Linked DNA regions of Schizosaccharomyces pombe. The gene in region 1 interacts genetically with each later gene. Each region holds a gene or a part of one and is shown on either strand. Other genes may lie near its edges.

Region 1 (8,334 bases):
TTATGGTGTCGCTAAAGACAACAGTTCATTTATTGATACTCCACTGCCTCATAGTTGTGAAATGGAAAAGAGTTTAAATGTATTACAGCATAAAGTTTTGCAACTGCAGGCAGTGAATATGAAATTACATGATTACTATGAAAAAGAACCAACTGAAATTTACAAAACCGTATCGGTTACTAGCACTCAAATAATGCCAGCTGTTACAAAAATGTCATCATTCGAACTTGAAAGGGAGCAATTTCATAAGGCATTTGGATTTTTACGGCTAAATAGGAAGAAAGATGACAATGCCAACTAAACATTAATTTTTTCAATCATCAGCACACTTTTTTAATCGTACATACAAAATGCAAATCTTTTGATTAAATTGAAATTTTTTATTAATGAATGTGTTGTTGCAAAACGACTTGGATTAACAAATCGAAAATTTTCTCATTTCATTACATTAGGCACTACTCACATTTTCTACATTTTGGGTACTCCACCAAACGTAACGTTGTCTGAAAGTACGAAGTTTAAATTGTACAATTAATTCCACAATATATTAAATATGGGTAAATCAAAGAAAGCAAAAGCTAAAAGAGCTGATTTTAATGTAAAATTGTTGTCGGAAATAGCTGTATTAACTGATTTTTTAGAAACAAAAACTCAAGGTGGGAAAATCAAAAAATGCACCAAATAATTTTACCGATACCTCATTCAGAACAAAAAGTATGAACAAAAGGAATTTTTATTCAAATAACTAACCTAAACATCTAGCGCTCGTACTTCCAACACAGGCAGCTTTAGAAAAGGAGGATTTCAATACAACAGCTAAGGATCAGGCGTACTTTGCACATCTTTTAGGAATGTTAAAGCATCATAATGCCAATCAACGGCAGGGTAAGAGAAATTTTCTATTAACTTATGCATCTTTTGCTAACATGTTAAAGAGACGTTGGAAAAGCTTACACAATATGTTTTATCTCATACAAGCATTTTGACGACGTCGACAGCGCTGCTGTTAAAGTTAACATCGCCTTTGATACTTGATGAATCCTCATCGGTACGAGATTGTCTATATCGATTTCTTGAAAAATTTATATATATAATGGGGCCAGAATTGCTGGAACCGAACATTGGAATGATATTTCTCTACACACACTCAGGGATGACTCATATTACTCCTTCAATACGGAATGACTCTACAAAGTTTCTCTCCTTACTCATCAATGCTTGTAAAGATCGGCTAAGTTCCTCTGCAATTTCGTTACAGTGGAAGAAAACATTAGAGTGCTTTACAAACCTTCTCGGGTGGAACTCAGAGAGTGCCTCTGTGAAGAGAACAACTAGCTTTTCAAAGAAGTCTTCCGCTAACATGATAAGACACCTAACTGTATGTAACGATTTTTTACAATTGGGTTTGAACCCTAAGTTACAAGCAAAAAATCAACAATCATCCGTTCATTTAAAGTATCCCTATTTGCAACAATGCATTGTAATACATCCGAAATACGAGGCGTTTAGATCTCCTTGTTCATTTGCATATTTGTCGCTATTCAATCCAAATAAACACGATCTTGTCGATAACCCTACTTTCCGTTGGCAGACAATATATCCTTTAATACCTGGAATTATAGAATTCATTAGAAACTCGTGGTCTGACGCTTGCCCAGTTGTTAAAGATGGATCCAACTCTCCGTCTGCTTCAAAAGTTTGTAGAACGGTTTTATCGATGCTTGGATTGTTTACTGAACAAGTTTTCAGTGTAGCTGATGAACCCAACAATCATAGGAAGAAAATATCTCAAGTTTTAAGAAAAATAAATAGGGACATAGAGTTGATAAATATCAATTATGGAACAGATTCCGAATGGAGAGGTGTATTGAAAGGATACGATAAATTGCGCGAGCGTGCAGTGGAATTGGATGCATTGGAGAACCCGGGTAAATGAAACTGACTCTATATGTTTCGTTTTAAATGGGTCCTCGCATTGTTTTAATTTAAGAATTTGGTTTGAGGGGTTATTTATGTTAAGTGGTATAAACAAAATTGATATTAACGCATAAATAAAATTAATTAAATAGTAGGGTGTATCCCCCCTAATTGATTCACCATAATAATTGCTGCAGTATACAAGTCTGAAACATTCTCAGTAATAGCCCCACCAATGAATTGTTTATTTGCAAGTTTCCACGGAGCCGTTTCTCCTGCGCGTATACTGTTATTATATTTGAACTGAGACTGCATGTACACACTTTGTATACTTAGACTGAAACAGGATTCTATAGGTTTGCTTTCCTTGGATCTGTCGAGACAAACGAAGGCTTCTTTGGAATTAATAGATGACGGGCTAATGTCATAGCTCTTAACTTTTGAACATTTTAATATAAATTCTAGAGAGTGAGGGAGTAAATTTTTGTTAAAAGGTACAGAGTTTTCATTAATTCTTGTGACCGAATGAATTATTACTCTGTCTTCCATATTTCCAAAGACTAACAGTAAATCCTTATTTACGTTTCTAGTCAACTGATTAGTCGAAGCTTTCAGAAATTGACATACCTAAATCTAATACTTTTGGAGAACTCTGTAAGTATCGCATCATTTAAAGGGACTTTCGTTTCGATACGTAGACGGGAATCCCATAAGCTATAAGTCATGATTAGTTGTTTTTTTCCTTAAAAACATTCATAACATACGCTAAAGGAAAATTGATAGTGCAAGTAGAAGATTGCTTAGAATCTTTATAAAACGCAAACTGATCTAACTTTGAAGAACAAATCATCGAAAAAAATACAGTGGAATCCTCTGTCTTGTTTCTCTTATCATCTGTAAATAATAAACTTCCCTTGAAAACAAAGTAATTCTTTGAATCTAATACTTCATGCTCTATTAAAGGATAAGTATACTCAGTACGTCCAAACAAAATTTTCACAGGAGTATTCAATAATGAATCGATATTCGAAACTGATTTGGTAATGCTTTATAAAAAGGTTAATATAACATATGAAGACTCAACCTACCAGTCTGCAAAATATGATCGGGGAAGATTCAAATCCTTATATATATTCATAAAACCATGTGAACAAGCCGACACATCTGATGAGATATTTGGATATAGTATGACGCCAAACCTGTTGGATTAATATTTATTCAAAAATAAACGCATACTCTAAATTCAATTCAATTTCACCTGAAAAGGATTGAAGTACATGCAAGCTAAACAAAGTGTTAGACTTATGTTTACATATTTAGTCAATACCACAGACCTTCTAGATAACCATCTGTGCAATGATTTCAAATTCATGTTGTCAATCTCTTCGTGATTAATGTATTTTTCAGAGCATACTATTTTTGGTTGAAATAAGTATAAGCTTCCCACACCGTAGCTTGATACCGGATTGGAAGACATTAGAATTGTATAATAGTTGTCACCAAGGTCGTCCATTTTCTCATCTTGTAAACGTAAAAACTTCATGTCAATTGAAGGAGTTAAGCTGCCAGATTTTGGAGTGGAACAATCTGATCCTTTGTCAAGCTCTAAACATTCTACACTTAATAGGTTTTTAGACTTTGAATCGTCGAAATCCAATTTTGCGCAATTTTGTCGCAAAGATTTATGAACATCATTAGCGTTAACTTCATTAAATTCATTTGAATTGACCAATTGAAAAGTCTGAGACTGTTTAGTTATTGCTTCGTCAACAGTATTACCATCCGAAGAAACAGAATATCTAGTAACCAGCTCTTCTTCAGGTTCCAATGGTAAAGTATTGCTCGTAGGTCGAGGAGGAAGCTGAAATTTGAACCGAGGAGGCTGCTTGCTATTAGACTTATTAATTGAATGCTCAATTGCAGTTGTTTTATCTTGGAAATGGGTCAAAGATGAAGTTCCTAAAATTTGCTTATCAATCGTGGGTAATTTATTCAACTTGTTCATAATCATTTCTTCAAAATTTGACGGATTATTCTGGTTAACAACAGGATCAACTGCTCTCCTTCCTTGATGAATTGAATTATCAGATAATTCGGTTGACGAAGAATGAAAATTTGACGGCTTTTGTAAGACTGGGATCGACAAATTGGATGAAGTTTTATTTAACTCGTAAAATCTGTGCGCTGGTTTCGGAGAAGAGAAGTTTAAAGAAACACCTGCAAATATTTTACATCCTATCAGCTTTATATCATCAGAAAATATTTTAAAATTATCATTACAGGGAGGGGTTTTGGAAGGATTTTTAGCAAAAACTGGTACCAACTCATAAGAATCACCATCATGTTTATTTCTCAATAATCTCATAGTATAAAAAGATCCAAGGATATTGAAAACGCTTTTGAAAATAGATGTCGTATGCATAGCTGTGTATAAAATCTCGTTTTCAAATTTTAATTTTAGAAATTTCAGTTGGCAGGGTGCAATCTTTCCTGCATAAACAAGAGTTTCTTCAGGATATTCATAGACTTTCTGGGACACTAAATTCTCTATATGCTTCATTTTCTCCAACATAGCATTAATGTCCTGATCGTTATTGGCTAATACAACTATTTTCTAGTCAAAAGTTAGGATGGTAGAAGTATCTTCACAAATACATACATTATCTTTTAAAGAAGCCTTGTATTTTGTGTTGGTAGCATGCGCAAACTCCTTGAGCAAATCATTATTGTCGGGAAGGTAAAATAATCGCTTGAAACTCCCGTTGTAAACAGTAGGCGAATAAATGACCTGTTTAAAATTTCCTTCCCATTCAAAAGGAGTAATGATTTTAGGTTTTATCAAGCAAGGAATATAAAAATCGGAGGATGTCGGTTTCTTGCCCACTTTAGACTTAACAATGTCCTCATTTTCTTTTATTTTCACATCTTCAATACCGTATCCTAAGTCTAAGTACCTTTGAAAATTCAATAAAGTAGTAAAATCATAATGCAATTGCCCGAATGGATGAATATCTAGGCGTGGTTTCTTGTAAACAGTTGATTCGCGCTTCAACTTTTGAACTATTTCCTCAAAACTAGCATGTTAATTAATATTTAAAATAATATTTAGGATGAACGCATGGAACTTACAGACTAAACGCTTCTCTTTTGTGTTCCTCGTACACTATGACTTTGAATTGCTGAATTATTAGCGTCAATAGCTAGGATATATAAAATACCTGAGATGAAGAAGAGTAAGAAATTTTTACTTTTCCATTATATTCAGAACTATATCATCAGTAATAGTCCATTTGCGCAAAACCATACTTTATACAATTTGTGAAGGAGGATATAAATTCAGCATTTAAAAGCAACGCTGTATCGATATAAAATTTAAAAAATCCTAATATTAGCAAAAGAATGATACACATTGACTTACCAGATTGATTGTTTGCAGATACTTTACCCATCACTCATTTCATCGAGCTTACAGATGGTACATGCTATATGCAGCTTCAGAATATAAGTGAAGTAATATGAATTCATTAGGAATATAAAGCTTTATGAATTATCAGAAGAAAAGAAAAATAATTAAATCTATAGTTCCTTGTATGTAGGTATTATAATTGTGATAAAATTAATGTTAACGTACTTACAATCGAGAGCTGAGTATTTGAATTATAAGCTGTAATGATTCATTAAAGGTTAGAAACACTGTAAACTAAAAAATAAAACTAAGACAATTGTTAAGAAACGTATTTTGTTTAGCGGACACTCATTTGTAAATAAAAATGTGTTGTCTTATCAACTAACTTAATGCCTCCCAAAGCTAGGAAATCATTAACCAATAAATATCTGAACGTAAAGTAGAAGCTTCAAAGTTATTTCTATAGCCCCAACATTTCTAGTAGAGTCAATAAAATCCTTAAACCAGGAAATAAGGCACCCTCTCCTCCAATTAAGTATTAGTCATTATTTCAAAAGCAGATGATGAGATGCAATAGGAGTTCATGAACATCATTCCCTCTCAATTTCTACGAAAAGTTTTTTAATCATCAGAAATAGTTTTTTCGAATAATTGGCTTCTGATTTCGTCCTCCAATGACGCTTCCTGATTGTCATTGTTTAAAGAAGGAAATGAAACCCCTCTGAGAAGAGAATTAATTTTAGCTACCATGGTGTTCGTACTGTTGAGGGTTGATATCAATTCAGGGTTTTTCTTCCACATATTCGTATGTATTGAAGAAGGCCCATCTTCAAAAGGTTCCAACATTTTTTCGATTTGCTCAAGTTCAGAGCGCTCCTGTTCTAATTCTGACAACGTTGTTAATAGACCAAGTAACTCTCCCGTAAGACGATTGAACTTCTCTTGCTCCTCATCCTTTTCGACAGGTCGGGATTCTTTTTGAAAAGGCCATGGATGGGGAAGTGATTTTACACTGTCTAAATTGCTTAAATCAATTTCTCCATAAAATAATGGATTTAAAAAGGTAATGTCCTCAATAGCGCTATTTTGTTCATATAACTTTCGTATTTGAGCGGCAACATGCTGAGTTGCTTGATGTGAATAATTTAGCTTTGCATGCTTTTGGATACGAAGTTGCAATCCTGTTTTGGTTAATAATAATATTTTGAACTTTTTATTTGTAGGAGAAATCCAGACAAAAGCATGGAACACGTACGTTGGAATACAGTTTCAACGACTGATTCTGAAAGCTGACCGGATTTTAAAGGAAGTTTCCAATCCTTTGGAGGGCGCATAGGTCGGTTCAACAGCCGTATCTGTCGTTCCATGAATGATTTTTTATGTTCGTAAATATCCATTTAGGAAGTAAATTTGATTTAAATCAAGATTATCAGGATTAAAATAAAAACAGTTGAATACTGATCGAAAAACAAGTCAATATGGTATTGAAATTAACAAAGCAAGTTCACGCAAAGGCAACAAACTAACAGCGACTTTTGAGCATATAGACGTCTTCAGTGTAAGCACTTCCAAAATTAATTACTTAACAAAAAAAGACCAAATCAATCAGACCTTGGCTGATGGTTGATTAATGACAAATTTTGAGAAAGTTACAGGAGACTAAAGAAGTCGAAAAGTCGAGCGACTAAATAGAATACTTTGAATGATGTTAAAATGAAGATTTTATGTACATAATCATTAAGCTAGCTCCTTAGAAAGGACTCGTCTAATGCGAGTTAAAAAATTAGTGCATATATCAGTTCTAAGATATAGCGAAGAGAGTAATATTCTATGAAGGATGAACCCTAGAGTATAGTGTATTGTGAAGTTGACCTAGGATATACCATTAATATTGAATAGCATTAAACATATTTATTTATCCTTAAAACTAATAGCTTACAAAAAAATTCAGATTTACAAACAAGCACCCAGAATTGGTACATATACTCTACGGTGGTAAAACGTAAACGAAAGCTTGGTTTTTACAATGTAGTACCATTTAGGTTATTTCGAGCTAGTTGAGAAACAAAAACAAATGATGGTTTCCAAAATATAATGATAAAATATTCTCATAGGTTCACTAGCTAGATGGCAAGCCAAGAGTGGGACAAGTAGCTTTTGTAAAACATCATGAAGCTAGCAATCTAATCGTAGCTGTCAAATTGCAGATTCAAGTGTCAAGTAAATCAATATGTCCGGCTCTGTGTTACACTTCCATGCTCCTTCAACTATACACACTCGTTACTTTACAAATACAAAAATTATCTGTCTGTATTTCTCTTTACATAATTCATGTTTACGAACACGCAGCTCTACAACTGTTACTTTCACTACCAAATTTAGATATCTTGAAAAAACCTAGGTTTTTATGCGAATGTACAACGTTAGTCCAAACAAAGAAATTATTGAATAAGATAGAAGTGAAACCATCCATTGAACCCGCCTTTTTGCATCTCTTTACTTAAGAGGAATGAAACGAGAACTATGAGTGGCACCAATACCGGGACGACCGTGCTTAGTAGGCTTGTAAGTGATAGAGAACTCACCCAAGTAGTGACCAATCATTTCAGGACGAATCTCAACTTGGTTGAAGAGCTTACCGTTGTAAATACCAACGACAGAACCGACCATCTCGGGAAGGATGATCATGTTACGCAAATGGGTCTTAACAGTGGCGGGCTTCTCATTAAGAGGAGCTTCAGTCTTAGCCTTGCGGAGCTTACGGATGAAGCGAGAGGCATTGGGTCCAAGACCACGAAGCATACGACGACGAGCACGGGCATGGAACAAATCAACCAATTGCTCAGCAGAGAGATCCAAAAGCTGCTCAAGCTCAACACCACGGTAAGCAAAAGTACGGAAACTTCTCTTCTTTCTCAGTTCGGCAACGCGAACGGCTTCATCATGTTCTTCGGCCATGCTGTGTATTGGATTTTATGCCGTAGTTGGTGATGGTCAAACGTATCTTTTCT
Region 2 (6,446 bases), on another chromosome or scaffold:
CAAACATAAAGTCAACAGGATCTATATATTCCCATTCCGCCTTTCCAATAGCTGACTAGTTACATTAGTTTTTAACTCTGTTACAAATTCCATTCTGACGTACCTTTTGGTAATAAGTGTCTTGTAAAAGTTCCCATTCTTTCGTAAATTAGTATAACTATGCAACTGAACGGCATACCATAGATGGGATACTTTATTGAAGGCTCCATTTCTATTTTATTTAGAAAATGCTAAAAAGGTGAAGCAACTTCTATAAATGTAGTTCAATGTATATTACACGTGAGTATTGTGACGAACAGTGGTATCCCCGATCACACTTAAAGCAACTGGTAAGAGTCATCTCACTATGTCAAGCACCTAAACAATTCGCTTTCCCGTTTACCTGGGATTTCTTTAATTTAATCTTTTTTTTTAATTACAGTGGATTGAAGGAATAAGAAAACAGATATATCTAGGAGTCATTTACATGCATACGTATGCGTTATACAATGTCAACATGGTATATGTCAAAAGATAGAATAGTATTAACATTATTTTGCTTATCGCAAAGTTTGATTTCTTGATATTCATATATCAATGAATTCTAGCGAATCCTTTAATAAAAAGGGTATTAGTAAAAATTCTAACATTGCATGAAGAAAATTAAGATCGGGAAATATGAAAAATCAATTAAAGATTTATGAGGATTTTATATTTTAAAAATTTTTAGTTCATTTGTTGAAATGACAGGTTCCTCAGGTTTACGTATAGGTAGTTGTTGAAGACATAAATAAGATTATATAATAATTAAAACCTGGGAGAAGATTACGGTATGCTTTAGCAGTATAATCATGATGTTAAGGCATATTTTTCGGGAAGCCAAAAAACGAGTTGGGACCCTGCAGTCAAAAGTTGATCATACCTAGGATTATACTTAACAAGACCTGGATTAATTATAGACTGAGAAACAATACGATGTTCAGGAGGTCTTGTTTTTCCTTTATGGTGAAAGGTATGTCTTAAATTCCATACATTCAGGGTACGGTCGTCAGCAGATCCTATGACAAAATTACCTTGAGGTACAAAAGTGGTTGAGCCGCCGTGAAAATTGTTGGAGAACGGCAATTCTTGGAAGTCCTCTAATCTAGATAAAACATCCCCGCTGAATGCATCAAGTATATAGTGAACATTAGCTCTAGTTGAGAGAAGTATACATTTTCCATCGTTGGAAAACTCCATATGTTTCCACTCAGGCATCATGGGGGGAAACGAAAACCTTGATAAGTAACGAGAGTCATCTATTGTGAATGTTGAAAACGGATCAGAACCATAATTCCGCACGTCGTAAAGAAAGATACGTGACAGTGAATGACATGCAACCGCAAAAACAAGACCTGTGGGATCATAAGCGGGAATTCCAAGGGATGGGAGATCTAAATTTCCAAGGCATCTCGAGGATTGATTCATTTTCCAAAGCTTCAAGGTTTTGTCGTTTGCCGTACTAACGAATTGGTCTTCAATAGGAGAAACCTCAATGGATGAAACGATGTCCGTGTGCCCACTGAAGTACGATATTCTTTTGTTGTCATAAATTGAAACATATTGAATATCCTTATTCCCCTTTGTGGTAGACAAAAGTAGATTATGATCGTGGTGTGTAAAACGAGCAACTTCTATGCCGGTTTCGAAACAAGTTATTGTATGGACTTGCTTCGGATCTAAAGCATCATATATTTGGACTGTGTCATCGGCAGAACATGTCGTTGCAACATACTCTCCAGAATCACTGTAATCAATGCTATTAATGAAGCTTCCTAATGAGTTATCACGAAACGACTGTGCAGGCTTTAAACTCGAAAGTATGCCGATATCCATTGAGAATTAAATAAAATATATAAATTCTCTTTGAATTTCCTTTTATATCCCCTTAAGGGCCTTTCTACTTTGCTAAGCCCTTGCTTGCATTTGTTTACTTGTGATTCCACAAAATTAGAGTAGTGCCAGACAACGTGTTTAACGAACTGTAGCACGTTTTAGTATACAGTTTTAAATTACAATTCGAAAACTTTTAAAAAGAATAGTGAAGTTGAAAATTAACAGGCTATTAATTTCTCCACCAAAAATACACTTGATTAATAAAAGAGTCTGAAGGCTTGATATTGTGGAAATGGAGGCGTGATGTTATCAAAACTTTCATATTATCAAATATAATTTAAGAGTAAATTTTTATTAAGGAAAACTTATAAACAAAGCTACCAAGGAAGCTGGATCATTCCATGAAATACAGCAGAACCAGTTTCAATTATTTTGTCGCTTGCTTGTAATCCTCAAAGCTCTGTATTTTTGTTATTTTCTGAATAAATTTTTCTTAGATATCGCGAATTTGCTTTTGCAAACCGTTAACAGATTAATTAAAATTACTAAGGAACGGCGTGATTCACGAACTTCTAAAATTCAGCAAAAATTATTTAAATAACTACTTTCGATCCTCAGTCGTTGTTATTCGAATTAGAAGGGAATGAATATTTGCATAATTCATTTCTTATCCTGAACTTTATACTGTTTAAGTCTTTCGCATTCTGTCTAGCGTGATGTGGATTTTAAAGTCAGGGTTCAATCGGTGTAGAAATTTTTCATTCATGAACAGAGGCCTTTTAGGCCTTAGAAACTTGTCTGTCACACACAACAATCTTGTTTCCTATTTAGAACATTTGAGTGTTCAGAAGCCTTCAACGTCGAATACTGTTGCCCAAGGAACCTTGTTTGAATACTTGGTACAGTATGTGCTAAAGCAACACAGTTTTCAGCTTGAAAGATGTGGTGGAAAGGGCGATGGTGGGGTGGATTTGGTGGGCCAATTTTCGATTAAAAATGTGTTGTTTGAGCCCACCAAAGTTGTCGTATCCTGCAAATCTAACAAGGGATCAATAGGGCCCAGATTTGTTAGAGAGCTTGAAGGCTCTTTGTCATCTTATCCAACAGATACTCTTGGGATTTTGGCTTGTTTGGGTTCTTTCACATCATCCTCACTGAAGACTTTGTCCATCAGCAACAGACCTCTTGCCTTATGCCGCATATATGTTGACGGATTTCATAGCTACATGTTTCAATTTGTTTGGAATCACCAAGCTTTGGCTATTTTTCCCGACCTGAGTGTGCGCCAGATTTACAAGCTTCCTTCGCCAACCGCTAATATTGTGCCTTTATCTCAGGAATTTTCCCAAGTGAATTATGTTTCCTTATTTGAACTATTACAGCCATTATCACGTACGGAAGAAAGGCCAGTACCTTTAGTGTTGGTCTACAAAAATCAAAAAATATCTCTTAACTGTTGATGACAGCTCATATATTAATTCATCTTTTTCTATTTCCATCATGCTAATGTGAGTTATTCAGTCTTTGATAAACCAATAAACTTTGTAAAGAGATATTATTCAAGGTAATAAATAGAAATAAAATTCAATGAACGAATGTCTACCAAATAAAAACGAAGTTCTATCTTGAAAATTAAAGTATGATAAGTGTTCAACAGTGTGAAAATAAAGGAAATAATGTAATATAAAAGAGAGAATAAAGAAAAAAGAGAAAAGAATTAAATAATATTGTTACAAGTTTCCATTAAGAAATAGATCGCAAAAATTTGTGCTTAATAAAATACTTCATTCTAGGAATGATCGGCCATTTCGAAATGTTTTGTACAAAAAAACCATTCTTGGCATACAAAAATAAAAGCCAAAAAAAGTATAACCCAACTACATTGTGAATGAGGTATGGTTTTTCAGCTCCATATATCAATGAATAGAAAGACAGAAGAAACAAAAAAACGTTATTTATGTAGTACTCCACGTCGTTCAAACGAGGTAGCATCTTTCCTGTTCGTAAAATTTCGGTGAGTAATATAAAAGGGATAATTGAGAAGAAATTATGATGTGTGGGGAAAGGAATAGACCAATGCATGGAAAGATTTCTAGCCCAAACAATGAGAACAGGAAAGTCCAAAGGAGCTAAGAGTAACATCAGTATTGTTATCGTGCAAGAGAAATTGTAGAAATCCCACAATTTTTTTCGGTAATGGCTTGACTTGGTGCAAAATCGGGCCAAGTGTAAAGCTTTAGCAGTAGTTACTGTCTGGGTACATAAAGCAACACCATAAACAAGTTGAAAGGGTACCACCGTCATTGCCATGAGCAACAATAACATGATGCCAATTATCCGAGCTTGCATATGCTTCTTTCCATATACGTAACAGAGAGAAGGGTTTGCATAATACATATTTCTCTGAGATAGAAAACTCGAAAGTTTTTTAAATTCTCCATGATCCAATTTTCTAGTATTTCTTGTTCTCAGACATTGAAAGGAGAACTTCACAGCTTGGCATACACCAGTAAAAGTCAAACCTTTATAACGCAAGTAGATACCATATATGAATGCTAATAAATGCATGACACAGAGTATAATAACACTGGCTGTTATAACTAAGCCAACAAACATTAAAGTTAACAGCGGGGCGAGGAACCAAAATTGAGCAGTCTGTAGTCCAAAAAGTAAATGATTTTGTTTCCAGAAAGATTTTGGAACCATCATTGCGAATATTTTCCAAGAGGCGACAGGGTCAGCACCATCGGCAACAATCAACTCTACTCTGCTAATTAAATATGAAAATGCAATTGACAAGATCGAAACTAAAAAAAGGAGTTTGATAAGTCCTTTGCGAATCATGACTTCAAGTGCAGCCGACATACTCAAGTATGCAGAACCGTAATGAAAATACCTAAACTGATTGTAAGCTGCCAAACTAATTACAACCACAGGAAAGGAAGCAAGTAATGTTCTGTAACGCATGAGCAGACGCCCAGCGCTCCTGTAATAACTTGGCTGTATTGAAACATAAACCGACTTATAGATAGCAGGATTCAAAAAGAATTCGAGAGTTAAAGATTTTTCTGATTCCTTACCAAAAAATTCCATAAATGGGGATATCCCGTGAACAGAAAGTTCTGTATTTGACATATTCACATGATATTTTGTTTCAAATGGAGATTCAATACTTTGCTTTAACATAGGGGTAAATTCTTTTTGAGGTACGGCACCAGGATAAAGTTCGTACGTTACTGAAATGGTGTAAGCCATAATTGAGCTCTGAATACCAGGGAACCTGAAGCGTTTCGAAATCGATCCTTTGGTGTCGAATTGAAATTTTCTTCCGCTTTTGAAGAGTTCAATTTGAGAACCTTTAATCGTTTTAGGATCCAACGAAACATTTGAAAATCCCCCAACAACAAACCCACTAGCGGGTGCTTTCGAATCATCAGACACTAAAATAAAATGATAATCATCCATTTTTTCCTTTGGCAATACGTAGTTATAAAAACTGTCACCACCATATGGACTGCTGGTGTATGCAGTTGAAGCAGGAAGCAAAGTAACCAATTCCCTAAGTAAATGGCAATTAGCGTTAATTACTTTATTGTTACCATTCTCTAATAAAGCAGATATAGTATTATCAATTTTTGGATCAAGGCGGCAAGCCAATACTTTAATATTGGATGACGAAAGATCAATAGGCTGATCAGTAAGCAATTCGAATCGGTCAATGCTTGAGGTAGGCTTCGGAATAGGAAAGATATGATGCCGAATATAAGAAACACCTAGTTGGTTCAAAAATAACAGTTGCCCTGGCATCTCGCTATAAACGTAAGTAAGATCAAGGTCCAAAGCTTTGTATTGAGCAATTGGTTTGGAAATTTGCGTAATGTCGTTTTGAAAAGAAGAACCCTGGATGTAGGCACGACTAAGCAACTCCTTCCTCAAATTAAGAGAAACGGTGCACTTTGATGTCCTTGCATCCATAATTGCAAAAATTCCCCGAATTAGTACCCGACGGAAATTCTCGCACCAAGCCATAGCTTGATGATCAATTTCTGCCCAAACGGAAGGGATACCAGAAGTAAAAACCATTAGACCGTTCGAGGGGGGCACAAAGGTAGAGATGGACGAATACTCCGGTACAACATGAGTATCTAAACCTCCCCCAGCTATGGAAACAAGCAAAACATCATCTAGTGAATTTTCTTCTGGACTCAACAGAAAGGACTGGGACCAAAAGTTTTTAATTGATTCATAAAATTCTACTAGATGCCTATCAAAAGGCAAAGGGGCCATTGCATGTGGCGTAGCTAAAGTAATTAGGGTATTAACAGAACCATCAACGTAGTTTTTCATCGTAAAAGTAGCTTGAGCAACAATCCCTCCCATAGAATGACCAAGTAATATAACGGACGTTGGGGGAGGAAAAGCTTCATTGTCATACTCCGAAGAGATTTTTCGATTTTGACGGTAAAGAGAGAGTATATATGGAATAGCATCATTGACATATTCAGCTTGGTCCAACAGCGTTTGGCCATGAAATGCTGAAAAATCCTCATTAAAATCCACCACAAAAAAATCAGGGACGAGTTTACCAGCAT
Region 3 (8,718 bases), on another chromosome or scaffold:
TTGGCCGTATTCGCAAGCAGCATGCTTTCAAAAAAAGTATTGCACCTGGTAGTCCTATTATTGTTCTAGGAGGTCCTGCTTTATTAGTTGGTTTGGGTGGAGGAGCAGCATCCAGTATGAATGCTGGTGAAGGCTCTGAGGAACTAGATTTTGCATCTGTTCAACGTGGTAACCCTGAAATGCAGCGTCGTGCCCAAATGGTTATTGATGCTTGTACAACTATGGACGAGAATATAATTCAGTCAATTCACGATGTCGGTGCTGGTGGTGTATCCAATGCTTTGCCAGAATTGGTTCATGATGCTGGTTTGGGTGCCCGGTTTGAATTACGCGATATCCCTTGTATTGAACCTAGTATGTCCCCTATGCAAATTTGGTGTTGTGAGTCGCAAGAGCGTTACGTTTTATCAGTTAAATCAGAAGACCTGGATACTTTTAAATCCATTTGTGAAAGAGAACGATGCCCTTATGGAGTTGTTGGTTACTCTACTGTAGAGCAACGTTTGATTTTGACCGATAGACTTTACAATACTACTCCAATTGATTTGCCTATGGAAGTACTGTTTGGCAAGCCTCCCAAGATGTCTCGAGTAGCTGAAACTCAAACAATTCCCTTATCTAAATTTGATTCTTCTTTGAAGTCATATCTGGCGCCATCGAGTGACCCAATTCTTGATGCTGTGGAACGCGTATTAAGAATGCCTGCTGTTGCGTCTAAATCCTTCCTCATCACCATCGGAGATCGGAGTGTCACTGGTCTGATTGCTCGTGATCAAATGGTTGGTCCTTGGCAAGTACCTGTAGCCGACGTTGGCGTAACCGTCACGTCCTATGGAAAGGGAATTAACACTGGTGAAGCCCTCGCAATGGGTGAAAAGCCAATCAGTGCGTTAGTATCCGCTGCTGCCTCCGCTAGAATGGCTGTCGCTGAATGTATTATGAACCTTGTAGCAGCATCTATTCCTGCTTTAGATCGTATTCGTCTTAGCGCCAACTGGATGGCAGCTCCTTCGCATCCTGGAGAAGGTGCAAAACTTTATGAAGCAGTGCAAGCGATAGGCTTAGAACTGTGCCCATCACTTGGTATTAGCATTCCTGTGGGTAAAGATTCAATGTCCATGAGTATGAAATGGAATGAAGACGGTAGGGAGAAATCCGTAACTGCACCTCTTTCACTTATAATTACTGGCTTCTCTCCTGTTGATGATCTTTATTCCATTTGGACTCCGCAATTACGTAAAGTTGAGGACATCGGATCCACCTCATTGATTTTTATTGATTTAGCAAATGGAAAACAACGTTTAGGCGGTTCTATACTTGCTCAGTCCTATAAGCAGTTGGGTGATGAGGTGCCGGATCTTGATAATTTAGACACTTTCAAGAATTTCATTAACGTTATTACTCAACTGCATAAAACCAACTACATTCAGGCTTATCATGATAAGTCTGACGGAGGTTTGTTTGTTACTCTTAGTGAAATGGCTTTTGCCGGTCATGTTGGTATTGAATGTGAGTTAGATTCTTTGTCATCCGATAATATTGCGGCTTTGTTCAATGAAGAATTAGGCGCTGTAATTCAAGTTTGTGATCGTGACATTGCCAAGGTATTGGAGTTATTTGCTGCTAATGGTTTGAGTACTTGTGTTCATCGCATCGGTAAAGTACTTTCCGGCCAGGCTCAAACAATATCTTTTAGCCGTTCTGGTAAAATAATCTTCAAATCAACTCGCTCTAAATTACACGGAATTTGGCATGAAACCTCTTATAAAATGCAAGAAATTCGTGACAATCCTGAATGTGCACGACAGGAAATGGAAAATATTGCCGATAATAATGATCCTGGTTTAGGATACCACCTTACATTTGATCCAAATGTGTCAGTTACCGCTGATTTGGCTTTAACTAGTCGTCCCAAAGTAGCAATTCTTCGTGAACAAGGCGTAAATGGTTATTTGGAAATGGCATATGCTTTTTATGCATCCGGTTTTACTGCCGTGGATGTTCACATGACTGATATCCTCAGCGGTAGAGTTCATTTGGATGATTTTGTCGGTATTGCTGCTTGTGGTGGGTTTTCTTATGGTGATGTTTTAGGATCTGGCAATGGATGGGCTACTTCCATCCTTCTTCACGAAGATGCTCGTAATGAGTTTTACCGTTTCTTTAACGAGCGTAAAGACACATTTGGTTTGGGTATTTGTAATGGATGTCAACTGTTCAGTCGTCTGAAATCACTTATTCCAGGAGCTAAAAGCTGGCCTATGTTTACATTTAATGAGTCAGCGCAATACGAAGGTCGTGCAGTTATGTTAAAGATCGATGAAACAAGTGGTTCAAAATCCATTTTCACTGAAAGTATGGCTGGATCTAGTTTACCCGTGGTCGTTGCCCATGGAGAAGGTAGAGCTGTTTTCGATTCAGAGTCCGATTACGAACAATTTAAGAAGGAAGGTTTGGATTTGATATACTACGTTAACAACTACAACGAGCGTACTAGCCGTTATCCATTCAACCCTAATGGAAGCAGAGATGCTATAGCTGGTGTTCGCTCCCCTTGTGGTCGCTTTTTAGCTATGATGCCTCACCCTGAACGTGTAGTTTTGAAAGTTGCAAACAGTTATTACCCTCATTCGAAAGCTAGCGAGTGGGGCGTTCATGGTCCTTGGATCCGTCTTTTCCAATCTGCTAGAAAATGGGTTGGTTAAAGCATTTATCTTGCCCGGAGAAGCTGAATTGGAGTTCACATGCCGTAGTTTCTTTACAGTTTTGGTTTGTTTCGTGTTACAAAATTTTATAATTATTCTACTTAAATTAATGGTGAAAATTAGATTAAGCTTGGCAGATATAAAAATCGTTAATTATACATTATTACGATTAAATTGCTTTAACCATCGAGTATATGTGTAAAAATTATGACAACTCTTTTCCTTCAGCAGAAACATACAACAGTCTTGTTAAATGTTAACTCTAGCTACCTGTTTTGCTGTTCTATGTTCCATTGTCGATAATGAGTACAATTACTATTAGCCTTTTACGAGCAATTAAAGCTTCGAATGTATATTCGATTTAAAAATTATTAGCAGTAAGCATGGCTTTTCGTGAAAGCTGACAAAGACGACTAGAAAATAAATATGGAAATGAAATCAATACCTCAGTAGTGCCATTGCCAACAGATTTGACACGTTGATCGTATGTCACATCGTAAGTGGCAGCAACCGCACTGTTTATCCGTTCTTCATATTCCGAAGAATCAAATGCCGATTGATTTGATAAAGCGCATTTCTCTAAGTACTCTTGAGTGTATTTTTTCTTTAGAAGGTCGAACTGAAAGCTAACTTCCTCCCTAAGACCATATTCATTTACGGTTTTAGCTAAATCATCTTTAAAAAGGATAAAAGCTGTGTAAACTTCATATTCTGTGGAAATATCAAAACGAGCCATAATTGATCTCAGGTCATTATCATAGTGTTTCTTCACTTCTTCAGCTACATTCAGATATTCAGTTTTAAACCTTGGAAGTTTCATACAAGGATCATAAACAGTATTCATTATCGGATTATAAGTTGCAGGTCTGCCACTTTCTCTTTGGAATCGTGCAGCGTATCTGAAAATTTTGCCAACCGCGGTTTCGGAACGAAAAGAACGAGTTTTTGTTTTTTGCATGAAGTCAGGATATCGTTTGGGATGGTATTTGGCTTGCATTTTACAAGCTACTCCCGATTTAGCAAAATCTACAGCTTTTGAATGCATTTCTGCAAGTTCTAAACACACATTTCCAAATATCCCTTCCGGATTATTATCATGGTCATGGGCCCATGCCTTCCAAGCATTTGAAATTAGACCTAGCGAATCATATTTTATATAATTCACAAAAAATTCTTTTACCGAATCGATAAGTGGCTTTCCTTCCAAAAAATCTATAGACTTCTTGGGAGATGATTCAAGCAATGGGGGATAATTAACAATTTTAGGAAGAAGACGTTGATCCCATATAACTGTGTACTCATCCCCATCCAGATCACCACCAGAGCACATAGCAGGAATGCTTCGATCACCCGTTGTCGGAAACACTATCACATTTTTTAAATGCATAAGCTCATCGCATCTGACAGCTTTACAGACACGTACGTCACCTGGATGAAGCGAGGGATTCCTTGCAACAATACACAATCCAACTATAACCCTTGTTTTCAGCTTTCCAGTTGAATATGAACCAAAACTGGTAGAAGTGTCGGTAATTTGGATGAAAATTTCAGGTACTGACAAAACAGCATCATCATAATGACCCTTTAGTGTTCCAGTTTCATCAGCTACACCAAGTAAATAGGCACCCTTTGGAACACTAACTTTTTGTTTTTCCTTAATTAACCTAAGAACCCATTCATAATATAGATTTAATAAATTCTCGGTGAAAGCATCATCTCTTTCAAGGAAACCGGCCTGGATAAAATCAGCAATAATTAAAGTAGAGTGATATTCATCTACGTTGTCCCGTAACATTAAAATGGATTTTTGTTTGCTGTTTATCGATTCGTTCATTTTTGACAACTGACTTCTAGTCAATTCCAAAAATACGGTTTTTTCAACCCCGAGTCCTTCCAATAAGGTGATCAGTTGCATATTCAGATGGGCATTTGAAAATCGAGATATTTTAATAACTTCCAAGGTACTATGGAATGATTTAAATTTATCTTGACTACGGCGTGGAAACACAAGATTTCCTTGATGGTATTCAAGCTTAGTCGGAGGAGCTAAAGATAAAACGCCTTTATAACCACCCATACGAAATTGAAACGCAGAGGGAAACATATCATGATTTTTTACTTCCAAAGAAAGTCTTCGAATTACAGATAATGATGCCATTCCAACCCCATCAGTAAAGCAGTGGTTGTTACGAACAATATCATCCTGAAGGGATATGTCAACACAAAATCGATTAATTTCCTTTGTCGTTGAAAAGCATTGTCCCATCCTTGCTGCATACTTAGATACTGAATTGATTTCACTAAAGTCACCCATCCATTCCCTGATCTGTTTGGCATTTAGATCAGATCCCGAAGCAAAAAAGTAAGCACCATGCTCTCTTAATTGAGAATTTCCAAAAGCTAAAAATTCGTAAATTTGATTACCAACTTTAATTCCGTAGGTTAATAATTGTTGGATGCGAGAATACAATTTTTCATTTCTAAACCCATCAGAACCGCCTCGAATTTTTTGCTTATAGTATTCATCAGTTATTTGCACACGCATAAAACGGTTTGCAAAGTCCTTAAAATTTCTTATAACACGATTTCCTGCTTCTAATGAGTCTTCAACTATTCGAAGAGTAGTAGGTGTAACGTACAATTTTTTAATGTGAATAGAAGAAGCGGAAGATAAATCGTAAAAGACAAAAGACTTAGTAAAATCTAGCTCAGAAGGATTTATTAAAGCGGTTTTGGACGTTAGAATTAGTCTTAGGAATTTTTTTGCTCTCTCTTTCGATAATTTCTTTAAATTCGCCAATATAATGGGCAAATCAATTTCTGATAATAAGTTTTTAGAAAGGCAAGCCTGCAAAAGATAAGCAATCTCTTCCTCAATTTCTTTATCATTTATTAGACTACAGCGATGTTTGTAGTCTGGGACAAGATGGAAAACCACTTTATCAAGTTGACTTTTCAAATTGAATTTTTCCAAGTTGTGTAAAAGAAAGGCAATGTCATCTTTATCAGACTCATCCCTTATGGAAAAGCTAAGGACTAAAACATTGCAGCGTCCAATGGGGGCGTTATGGCAATTAAGTAGCTCTATAGGACTAGCAGTCGTTGGTGAAACATTGAAAGGTAGAATATCATAATGTCGTCTCCAAAGATGAGATGCAGTCCAGAAAGTTTGAACTCTGGATTCAGTTGCATTTTTAGATTTTCTGAAAATTAGTGGAGAAAATCTAAATCTAAATACGAGGGAAATATGATCATCGTAATAATCCGTCCCTACATCGCCTATTATGGAATGAAAATCGAAGTCCAGACGAAAGGTTTCGATCTGTTTGTCAAAAGAAGCATCAAAGAGAACACAGAGCTTTTTGAAATTAAAATATACAAGTAAGTTTGATTCAGTTACAGTTATTCCACAATCAACACCAAACAGTGGGACAATTCTTTCATCATAAACTTGCCCGAGCTTAAAGGAGGATAACGGGATTTTTACTAGCTGATCGCTTCTAAAACTATTCTTAGAGAAAACTTGTCGGCTGATGTGGGAACGATGTGCTGTTATGTCAATTTGAACAGCTAGATCAACACCTTTGACATTTATTTTCCCATTTGGTTCCCAGAATGGAACTTTGGGAGGAGGAGCAAATTGGACTATTGCAGTAGTACTTGTCTGTCCATTCAAAGGTTCATTAATCTTCATGAATTCTATTGTACCGTAATCATGAAGGGGTTCCCACAAGTTGTATAGTTTTCCTCCCTCATTTGAAAGCCAAGTAACTGGAATATCTTTTATGACAAGTGTAATCATATCCCCCAATCTCCAAGTACTACTTCTTTGGATTAGACAATTATCATTTCGTTTATTAGCCGAGTGCAACTGAGCTTCATTATTGTGAACGGAAGCCCATTTCTTTTGCTTTTTGTTTCTATATGGGACTCTAAGTCTTTCCCAGGGTGACTCACGAGAATAACGTTTTAATTTAACACTTATAAAGTCATTTAACGAAACTGCCATTGCTTTACATTGCCATACAAAATCTGGATTTAATTATAACCCTGACAACAAATCAATTTGGAACCTTTTGTAAAAATAAAACACTAAATCTCATAGCGCCTTTATGCAGTATCAGCAGCCTCGCTCTGCGAAGTGGTCTTTTATCATAGAAGATTCCTTTCAGCTGGCTATAAATTCGTTAGATACGAAAAACCTTCGATTTATATAAAAAAGATTATAATGTTCCTATTTATCCACTTATACATACATGTATATGTGTGCCTTTTTAATTTAATTGACCGTTATAGTATCAATATCTATGAATTGCTCTTGAAGGAAGTTTGTAGCACGGTGGAATAAAGTTAAGTGAAGGCTCCTTTACGTATAGGGAAGTAGAATCAAAATACTAAGAATACATATTCATCCTATATGAACCGGCAAGTTGAATTTCAGTTTTCAATCCAAAGCAGATATTGAGGTAGTTTTTTCACCAAGGAATAAAAAATTGTTAGGAAACTTCCATCAGTTAAACGACTGATATCATGCACCTTAATTCATGTTCAATATCGTGTTATAATATCTAGCTGATATTTACTATAAATTTATTTTTTAAGCATGGTATATAATTTGAGCTACGTAGCTTTACTCGTTTCAAAATTAAGTGCAGCCCTGATATTCCAAACCCCTCGTCAGCGCTTGATTTTACAAACACGTCCAACTACTTCGGCAAAGCAAACAACTTAATAGATTTTTAAAAATAGAGCAATTGCTCAAGGATAAATTAATTTATTATTCCTATTTGTAAATACCACAAATAGGTTCTTCATTCCCTTATTTTAATTGGTAAATTGTTAAACTTATTTCAAATGTGAAGCATTCAATTTAACATCCTTTAGATACATAATATTTATTCTTCTATCAGAAACTTGAAAAAAAAATGCCTGACAATCCATCTTCTTTTGAAGATGAATTCATGTACGCAGCTAGAGAATATCGGGTGTTTGAGCTAATTTTTTGTTAGGAAATCTAATCATTTAAGTGTTGCTTCGGAGTCCATACCAAATGAAAGCCAAAGACAGGTATGTACTGAAGTTAAATAAAAACAACCTATTACTAAAACTGCTTTTTAAAAGTCACCGACGCGATTACGAGTCGGTACCTCTAAAACAGATGATATTTATCGACAAAAACGGCAAACAAAACATATCATTTCACAAAATGAAGTTTTTTTACAGCCTAAATTTTTCGATAATCAAAATTTTGATGCTCAAAGCTGTATGTGTAATTATGTCTATTGGAAACTAATTTTGCAAAAAAGATTTAAACGATGTTTTACAGGACCTTAGTGAAGATGAATTTGTGTCTTTATACAATAAGCTTCTACGCATTCACATGGGCGTCCGTAAAAATTTGGAAAAGAATTTTTACAAAAATTTGAATGAATATGTATTTATATCAGGGGAGGTTGAGAGCATGACTTCAGATTTTAAAAAGTTTCAGTCTCTGTTGAAAACCCTGGAGACTGACATTGAAGGATTAAACTTGGTCGACCATACGCATGACCCTTCCGACGAATCAATAAAACAAACGGTACAGAGACTACGATCATCCATTGAAGGGCTAGATGAAGCATTCTGGGAAGCGCCTCAAAGACAGCTTATATGTGAGCAATACAATTGGATGTTAATCAATATTGACAATCAGAGACCTAAGCTTCTTGTCAATATGCTTCTGTTTAATGATAGACTGTTGGTTACTACTTCTCACATGAAAGAAGTTGATTTCCCTGCTAAGCAGCAGGTTTTGTATAATTGGAATTTAACCGAAATTTCTATTTCTTCAATTGAAACTTATGGACCAGCAGGTGCTGAAATGCTGCAGAAGGAGAAAGAGGTCTCTCTATACAAACTGTCAATTAACCATAACAATAAGACCACATTGTTGGCAGTACACAATAGTGAAGAAAGGGATTATATGGTTCGTCAGGCTCGCCATCACCAGCTTCAAGAACTAGAAAATTGGTCT
Region 4 (7,495 bases), on another chromosome or scaffold:
TTGTAATAGGATAATCCAGCAAGGAACAAAGCGGCCGATCCTAAGCCAACTGATACTCTATTTTGATAAAGAAATTCTCCCAATCTTCCCTTGGCACTGTTTGTAGTATGAACTGTAACAGGTTGAGGGTTACTAGTTTTTTCATGAGCATAGTCAATGATTCGCTTGCCGTAATCCTTAACATTAGAGACTAAATCGGCAGCCCAGCGTTCAGGATTCATTTTTTAATGTTATTCTACCTTTTTGATATGATAATTCGTTTTCGTAGCAATTGGATTAGATTTCCAGGCAAAAAAACACTTCAATTTTCTCCCTGATATAATGTTTGAAGAAGGAAACAATGCAGGATGAAATTGAAAAATATTTAGCAATTTCAACAATAAATACTATCACTTGAGGAATTCACAAGTAATACTTCAAAAAGCTAAAGAATTCTAAAACTTGGAATTAATGAAGTGGTGAGTGGTGGTTGAGAACAGGTCGCGAATATTGGAAAACACCATGATGTCGTGCTAACTTGATCCTAAATCGCAATTCTATTTTATGGCAGTAAAGATGATTCAAATCGAATGCAAGTTTTAATATTGAAAGTTTATCGAAGTTAATCTCACATCAGGCTAATAGGAAGCTATGTTGCTAAAAACATATTGTAAGTAAATGATAGTATCTGTTCATAAAAGGTTTGATGTTTTGCGGGAATTGAGCGATGGCATTATAAAAAAATGAGGATTAATGGCTTTAGAGATTGACTAATGGGAAGGATAAAGGATACCAAGGATATGAGAGAACGGATGGATGATTAGTATTTATTATGAAATTCGCGTTTTCATTGTAGATGAGAAGTCCGATTGAAGTATTGACCTTACTTCTCTAAAGCATGTACATATGAAAGGATCATTGTGATCTGTTTGCTCAAAAAACTTTAAGAATTGTATTAAAACCTTGCTACTCTTTAAAAGTTTTTATGTGTACCATAGTTCTTGTAATTGTCTCAACAATTGTAAAAAAAAGAACAGCCTTTCATTTGTCGCTCAGTCCTTCTTTAAATTGAAATGTTATTCCTTACATTACCTAACATTTTTAAAGTGTTAAAATAATCTAATATTCAATTTGCTACATTGCCTTCAAATCTTATGATATAAAACGTTGGCCAAGAATCAATTTGGCCTCAGCAAATATAGCAGCCGAACTTATACAAACAAAATAATATACTATGGTTTCTTAATCCTGACTTAAGGATGGATTTTCTTAAAATTTAAGGATTTCAGATGCAATCTTTAAAATTCCACTTTTGTTGACGACTAACGGTTCAAGCCTACATTCTACCAATGAATTTCTTCTTAACCAAAATTTGCACTCTTCAACTAGCTAATGCTTCTTTCACCATTCGAAAACAATACTCATATTGTTTTAATGATCTTGTGTCGGTTATCTCTGTCACATTTTAGAAAGCGTTTTCAGAAAGTGAACCTTTTGTTTACACATTTTTGAATGTACTCGTGCATTTACAGTTCTCCGTCGACTCCAAGTTATTTATACCTAAGTATTTGTGCTTGAAATTCTATTTAGGTAGCATCATTCTACACTTTGACATCTTTGCAATAGTGTTTTATTGCCATCTACATTTAATGAATAAGCTACTCCAACTACCTTACTAAGAACACAAACCCAGACCTCGTAACGTAACCACGTTGCTTTGTCCTAGTCGGTTTAACGTGTTTCGCTAACATGCTGACAAATTTTTACATAAGATTTTAAGTATCGATTCATCTTTGATAATGATGTCATATTTGTAAATTATTATATACATACCGGGATAAGATAGGTTGTGGGGCAGATCATTAGTACAACAGGAAACGATATCAGATCAAGGAGTAAATATACTCGATATCAATATCCACTTTTCCATTCTTATTAACTTGCCTTTTTTTATAATTTTCTGTTCTATTTATAAAAATTTCTGTTCACTTTATCTTTTTTATATTCTTTCTTTCATTCATTTTTAACCATCATGACTTCGATTCACACTGGCTCAAATAACAACATTGTTGAGCTTGATATGTCTGAGTTAATTCGTCCTATACCTCCTGTTTTAGATATGAACAAAGTCAATAGTATGATGGAAACCATGACAGGGAAAACTCCTCCAGCTTCATGCGGTTTGACTTCAGAAGATTTGGAAGCTGGTGAGCTTCCTCCTGTTGATGTTTTAACGTTTAAAAAGAGTGGGAAGCCTTATTATTTTGCCTTTGGGGGCTGTCATCGACTACGTGCTCACGATGAAGCAGGGCGCAAAAAGGTTCGCTGCAAATTGGTAAATTGCTCCCCTAACACTCTACGCCTGTATCTGGGTGCTTCTGCCAATAAATTTTTGGATAGTGATTAGATTTAACTTAGATTTTTTCACAAGTTTTTTTAGGATTATCGATATTCCATTGAACCTGTTTTATTCCCTTCCTGCACCAACATTTATGGCGTTAATAATCATCTCTACCGGCGGTACATTATTTTTAAAGGTTTTTGTTTTACATTAGTTATGGGGTTTTTTTTTAATGTCTAATATAACCCAATTATATTAAAAAAGTTTCTTATAAAAAAGCATCATTCATTTGGTTGCTTTACCTAAAAAAAACAAACACAAAAAGGTATTATATCGTAAACAAACAACTTATAGCGTTTGGGAGTATAGCGTTCTTTATATTTACATAGTATCAAAGTATAGATATCAGGGGCCATATAATATGTGGTTCATTAATCAAGGTCATAATTACCTTCTTTTAAAAGAGCGAAAAATTAAAGATTAAAAAAAAAAAGCCTTTAAGCTCCCTAAAAAAGTCGTTAACATTAAGAAACTCGTATGATGTTTGGGAAACTTTGTAAAAGATAAAACCTTTTTAAGAATAATCGGAAAATTTAGTGCCTCTATTCTGGCATTTTTCGTAAATTGCTAACGCAATCATAAGCCATGCTATCAATAAGTTCCTTATTTAATCGCTTGTGCTTACTCAACTCCACCGACCTTTCTATAATCATTGATAATTGAGAAGCTGAGATTTCTGTGCTGAGTCTAAGTGGATGAGCATTATTGGTGTGCCCAGAAACAGGTAACGGCTTTTTGGCCAAAGGTGTCAAATAGGATGGCAAAGGGTTTAAAAAGGGATGAACCAGCAATTCCGGTATTGTAAGTCTCTTCCGTTGATCCCTTTCCAGGCATCTTTTCATAACATCCATTAGATCAGGCCCGACAGTTACACCTGGCAACGATCCCTCTTTCTCCTGGACAGCATTAGCAGGTAAGGCAACTTCGGGGAAATGAATGTGATATTGTTCATTAGGGATAGCTGCTATAGCTTGGATCATTTTTAGATGAGCAAACGGGGCCCTCCCATACACCATCTGATATAATATACATCCCAAACTCCACACGTCGCTGGGCCTGCCCAACTTTACGAGTTTCACGCCAGAGTTTGTGTGAGCATTCATGTCTGTCAAAGCTTCAGGTGCCATATAATTAATAGTACCGATGTGGGAATCACGATGGATATTAGTGGTGTCATTACCAATTGCTTTGGCAATGCCAAAATCAATCAGCTTCAAATTCCCTTCTACAAGCAGGAAATTGGCCGGCTTCAAATCCGAATGCACTATATTTTGATCATGAACTACCTGGACCGCCTCTAGCATTTGCTCCCAATACATTCTGATGAAATTAAGATTAATGGGTTTCTTCATGTTTTTCATTAAAAGGTTTGCTAAATCCGTTTCTCCGCATTCCATCACCATATTGAGTTGCCCTAAAGTATCATTAACTTCGGCAGCATATAATTTAATTATGCGATCATTGCCTGAAAGCTTTCTTAATAATGCAATTTCGTTCTTGTATCCTTGTATAGTAGTTTGGTCTGCATTAATAAAGTTCACCTCTTTCAAAGCGTATAAACGACTGTTATCGGGGGAAAATATGCGATATACCATACTACTTCCACCCTTTCCAACAACTCCTAATTTGATAAATTGTAGATTGGCAACAGTAACAACGTCCTGCTGACGCTTGGGTATGGGAGTAGCTTGACTGTTATCAAATAACGGAGCCACCTTTGGAGAAAGAGCATGAGATTCATATGGTTGAGAAGCAGAACGCTGAGGCTCTTGGAAAACGGTGACTGGACGAGAATGAAGTTCACTAGCTCTTCTTTCAACATCGTGATCAAACTGCACCCTAGGAGAAAAAGAGCTCTCAAACTGAGAAGGATGAAAAGAAGGTTTGGGATGCTCCTGGGATGTTTGCAAAGGAGTGTTATGCAGCTGCAGAGGTTTTAAAGTTGTTGCAGCAACAGAGTTGGAAGCTGGTGATACTTCTCGAGATTTCATTTCAATATCCTCATCTGCTTCTGTAGAGTTTTTGGTATCGGAAGTCTTCGAGGGATCCGTCAACGTGTACTCAGCACGCTTTGGAGGGCCTAATCCAATTCTGCCGATTCTTCGTCGTCTTGAAATTGATAAAGAACCGGGGGTTTTGTTTACACTTTTAGGTAACAAATCATGCTCCGAATTAGAATTGAGATCATTCACTCCTGCACTGAGTGAAACTTCACTGTGAGACGCATTAGTAGAGGGCAAGGGTGTTATTAAATGCTCGAAATGGTGCATTGACTGATATGCTGGAGTATTCACTTCCTTCAAAGCAGAATTTTGTCCTCCATTTCCTTGCAAATCAAAATTTTTAGTACGAGGATGTGAGACCAATCTCTCTAAAGCAGTTGCACCGCTTGACTGCCTACGCAACGTATCCCCAGTAACGGTGCCATCAGAATGGCTACTCTTGGAAGAGAAAGTGTCATTTTTGAAGTATAATTCTGGATCCTGAAGCTCTTCGAGAAAAGAAAGCGAGTCTTCATCTAAGGAAGAATCTGACACCAAGTCCGCGATATTAGTCACAGGAGGATTGCGCTTAGACATAAACACAGTTACTAAAAAACGAGCATTCCAAACCGAATTTCCAACTGTTTGTTAAGCGTTAATCAATAAATTTTTACTTCGTTATAAGAATAGCTAGAAAAGACGAACAGCAGAGCAACCATTAGTGTGCACATTTCAAAATGTTATGTTACTACAAAGATCACCCTCTAACGCAATGCTAGCTACTTCAGTGTATATCATTATTTTACGAGTTTCGCATGGTTATGAAAACGAAAATTCTGAGTAAGAATGGCATAAGATCATTATTAGACTAGTCATGAAAGAAAAAGAAGAGTTGTGAAAGTAAAAAGTTTTTTCACCTAGGTCGCCTTGCCCTTACTATATCTGTGATTGAGGCCATTTCCATCCAGCCGCTAACAGCTTCCTGCGAATCTTTTTGTGGTGAATATGGTTCTGCTCTTGGAATTGGAACAAAAGACTTCTAGGACTGATCTGATGCCATTGGGCGGCCTTGATCTTATGGAAACAAGAGTCTTCTCTTTCAGGATAAACAACACCTAAAGTAGATATTACACGGTGTTGACGAGCAAATGCTTGTATTTGCAAATCAAAATCCAACGATATGCAGGAAGGACAGACAAATGAATCGCAAACCAAACAACTTCTTAAATCTATGCAATAACGACAAATCGGCTTCTTCCATTCCCTTAAGCAATAGATACAAGCAGGGACTTTTTGCAAAGAAAAAAGATCGGCAAGCTCAGTTTCCTGACCTGCAATTTTGCATGCATTCAAAGGGCAACGTGAAATATCGCATTCGACTGGGTTACCATGAGTAGTTGGTAAAGCGTCTAAAGCATTTTGAAATAAAATTACTCGACTATGCCAATTGCTTGTTAATGTGTCATCCTCAGAGCCATCAAGCAAAACAGGTTTTAGTAATTCTAATCCTTTAACACCAAGGACGTATAGATTTTCCAATGAAAATGTCCTGCTTTTAGAATTTTGTAGAAACTCAATGAGAGATAGAGAGCAAACACCAACACACCATCTTATACTCAAGGTTTTAACGGTAGGAATGTTCAGCAAGATATTCGTTACACTAGAAATGGTAACACCTGTTCCGTCTAAAGCAATGGTCTGAAGTCCCTGGAATTTGGCAAGCATTGACCAGACAAATGAATCGCGAAGTTGGAGTTTTAAAATTGGTGGGTTTCCGTAGAGATCAACTTCAGTAGCCCATTCTAAATCACTGGCAACAGGAACTGTACGTTGATAAGGTTGTAAATTAAGAAAATTGTTATTAAAACAGCATTCATCGACAGCTGATTTACGAAGCCAATAGTAAAACTGCCTACTTGAATGCATCAGGCGTAATATATCGAATGCATCAAGATAATTAATGATCAAGGACCATATGTCTCTGTTCAAGAGAAATAAATTGGAATTTTTTAACACAGGTTGAATTGGATCTTCCTCATGATTCCGGTTTGACAAAGAAAGGGTTGTGAGAGCTTCAGCTGTAAAATCCACTTCGCACTGATTACTCGACCAATGTGTCGGCCTCATAAAGTCCCGAAATACTTTATAAATTGTTATTTACACAATTTCTTTTAAGATAATGCAATTTTCGTAGCTTGTTTGCGATTCAGCAACTCTTTTGCTAACGATTTTTTCAAAAGAGAACAATTTATGCCGAGGAATGTTAAGAAACGTAAAGAATGTGTTTTTTTAGATTCAAAGATTCCGTTTTCTTGGTTGGAGATAATCTTATTCGGGAAAAATCAATAATGAACCTCGTGATAATTATAATTGACAAATACTTTTTGTTTTCAAGTGTTGACGTTAATGAGCTCCTGTTGATATATATAAAACAAGAAATTCTCTAATATAGTCCCAAAAAAAATCCCAAAATCATAGAATTGGGGAAGTGGTTTATTTTTTCAACGAAATGGAGTAGGTTAGGGTGTTTTAGGAAAAGAGGATTGCTAACAACATCTTCATTCTCTAGAATTATTCCCAAACTCAACTGTTATATTGATTAAAATAAATTCTTTTAAAGACAAGAATGCGTTTTGCTTTGACTTGCTGATTGCTGTAGCTATTCACACTTAAAGGCGCATTGGGTTTCTTGACATTGGAGAGCTTCTGAATTAAACAGAAAGAATAGTTTAGTTTTTTTTACTACAAAAAAAAGCTTAAGGGACTATACAGGCACATGAGATTGAACAGACAAAGTTGTTGTATCGCTAAATATTCAGACGACTGACACTGCTGATTCGTGCAATATGTTCGTTCGAAAGAGATTCATTTCTCAAAATGTTTTGACAGTTCTTCTATATTGCTTGATGACCTTAGTGCTATTAGTTTATTGGCAAAGAGTCTGTGAAGTATAATTGCAAAGACTCAAACCGAACTAATCTTTGCAATTTGAGTATCCCGTAGCGTTAGCTTTTCATTTTAGTCAACTCTTTATCTCGGAATGTCATTCTCGAATCTTTGAGCCTGATAGTCGAACCGTATTGAAGACTTATAAAATGACTGTTCGCTTGGAATATGAATATGTAAAGAATAT

What was found.
Region 2: mutations in ers1 (region 1) and swd22 together harm fitness more than expected from each alone (negative genetic interaction), as found in Schizosaccharomyces pombe (2 studies listed by BioGRID).
Region 3: mutations in ers1 (region 1) and rdp1 together harm fitness less than expected from each alone (positive genetic interaction), as found in Schizosaccharomyces pombe (2 studies listed by BioGRID).
Region 4: mutations in ers1 (region 1) and mph1 together harm fitness more than expected from each alone (negative genetic interaction), as found in Schizosaccharomyces pombe (2 studies listed by BioGRID).

Annotation. Positions count from the first base shown.
Region 1 is NC_003421.2:798,229-806,562, reverse strand, and holds ers1 (RNA-silencing factor Ers1), read right to left. Parts: upstream 5,406-8,334; 5' UTR 5,367-5,405; coding exon 5,336-5,366; exon of another isoform or gene 5,300-5,335; coding exon 5,224-5,299; exon of another isoform or gene 5,185-5,223; coding exon 5,136-5,184; exon of another isoform or gene 5,097-5,135; coding exon 5,047-5,096; exon of another isoform or gene 5,024-5,046; intron 4,992-5,023; coding exon 4,577-4,991; intron 4,532-4,576; coding exon 3,252-4,531; intron 3,203-3,251; exon of another isoform or gene 3,202-3,202; coding exon 3,154-3,201; exon of another isoform or gene 3,117-3,153; coding exon 3,006-3,116; exon of another isoform or gene 2,964-3,005; coding exon 2,682-2,963; intron 2,632-2,681; coding exon 2,545-2,631; intron 2,504-2,544; coding exon 2,062-2,503; 3' UTR 2,020-2,061; downstream 1-2,019. Other genes in the region: protein mug4, read left to right, coding at 1-301; rRNA processing protein Ipi1, read left to right, coding at 554-598, 642-714, 763-885, 936-1,936; protein Fta4, read right to left, coding at 5,945-6,504, 6,579-6,720; rps1501 (40S ribosomal protein uS19), read right to left, coding at 7,820-8,281. UniProt on the Schizosaccharomyces pombe protein: Involved in RNAi-dependent heterochromatin formation and centromeric silencing.
Region 2 is NC_003424.3:1,685,770-1,692,215, reverse strand, and holds swd22 (Set1C-histone-H3K4 methyltransferase complex subunit Swd2), read right to left. Parts: upstream 1,951-6,446; 5' UTR 1,855-1,950; coding exon 829-1,854; 3' UTR 501-828; downstream 1-500. Other genes in the region: HOPS complex subunit Vps16, read right to left, coding at 1-55, 104-138, 179-209; SPOM_SPAC824.03C (uncharacterized protein), read left to right, coding at 2,571-3,314; bst1 (GPI inositol deacylase), read right to left, coding at 3,598-6,446.
Region 3 is NC_003424.3:1,323,249-1,331,966, reverse strand, and holds rdp1 (RNA-directed RNA polymerase (RDRC) Rdp1), read right to left. Parts: upstream 7,027-8,718; 5' UTR 6,962-7,026; exon of another isoform or gene 6,882-6,961; 5' UTR 6,715-6,881; coding exon 3,067-6,714; 3' UTR 2,906-3,066; downstream 1-2,905. Other genes in the region: phosphoribosylformylglycinamidine synthase Ade3, read left to right, coding at 1-2,705; exo8 (exocyst complex subunit Exo84), read left to right, coding at 7,631-7,668, 7,715-7,772, 7,827-7,968, 8,012-8,718.
Region 4 is NC_003423.3:371,353-378,847, reverse strand, and holds mph1 (dual-specificity protein kinase Mph1), read right to left. Parts: upstream 5,055-7,495; 5' UTR 4,960-5,054; coding exon 2,923-4,959; 3' UTR 2,556-2,922; downstream 1-2,555. Other genes in the region: SPOM_SPBC106.03 (steroid dehydrogenase), read right to left, coding at 1-221; srx1 (sulfiredoxin), read left to right, coding at 2,012-2,386; F-box protein Pof13, read right to left, coding at 5,299-6,489. UniProt on the Schizosaccharomyces pombe protein: Involved in mitotic spindle assembly checkpoint signaling, a process that delays anaphase until chromosomes are bioriented on the spindle, and in the repair of incorrect mitotic kinetochore-spindle microtubule attachments.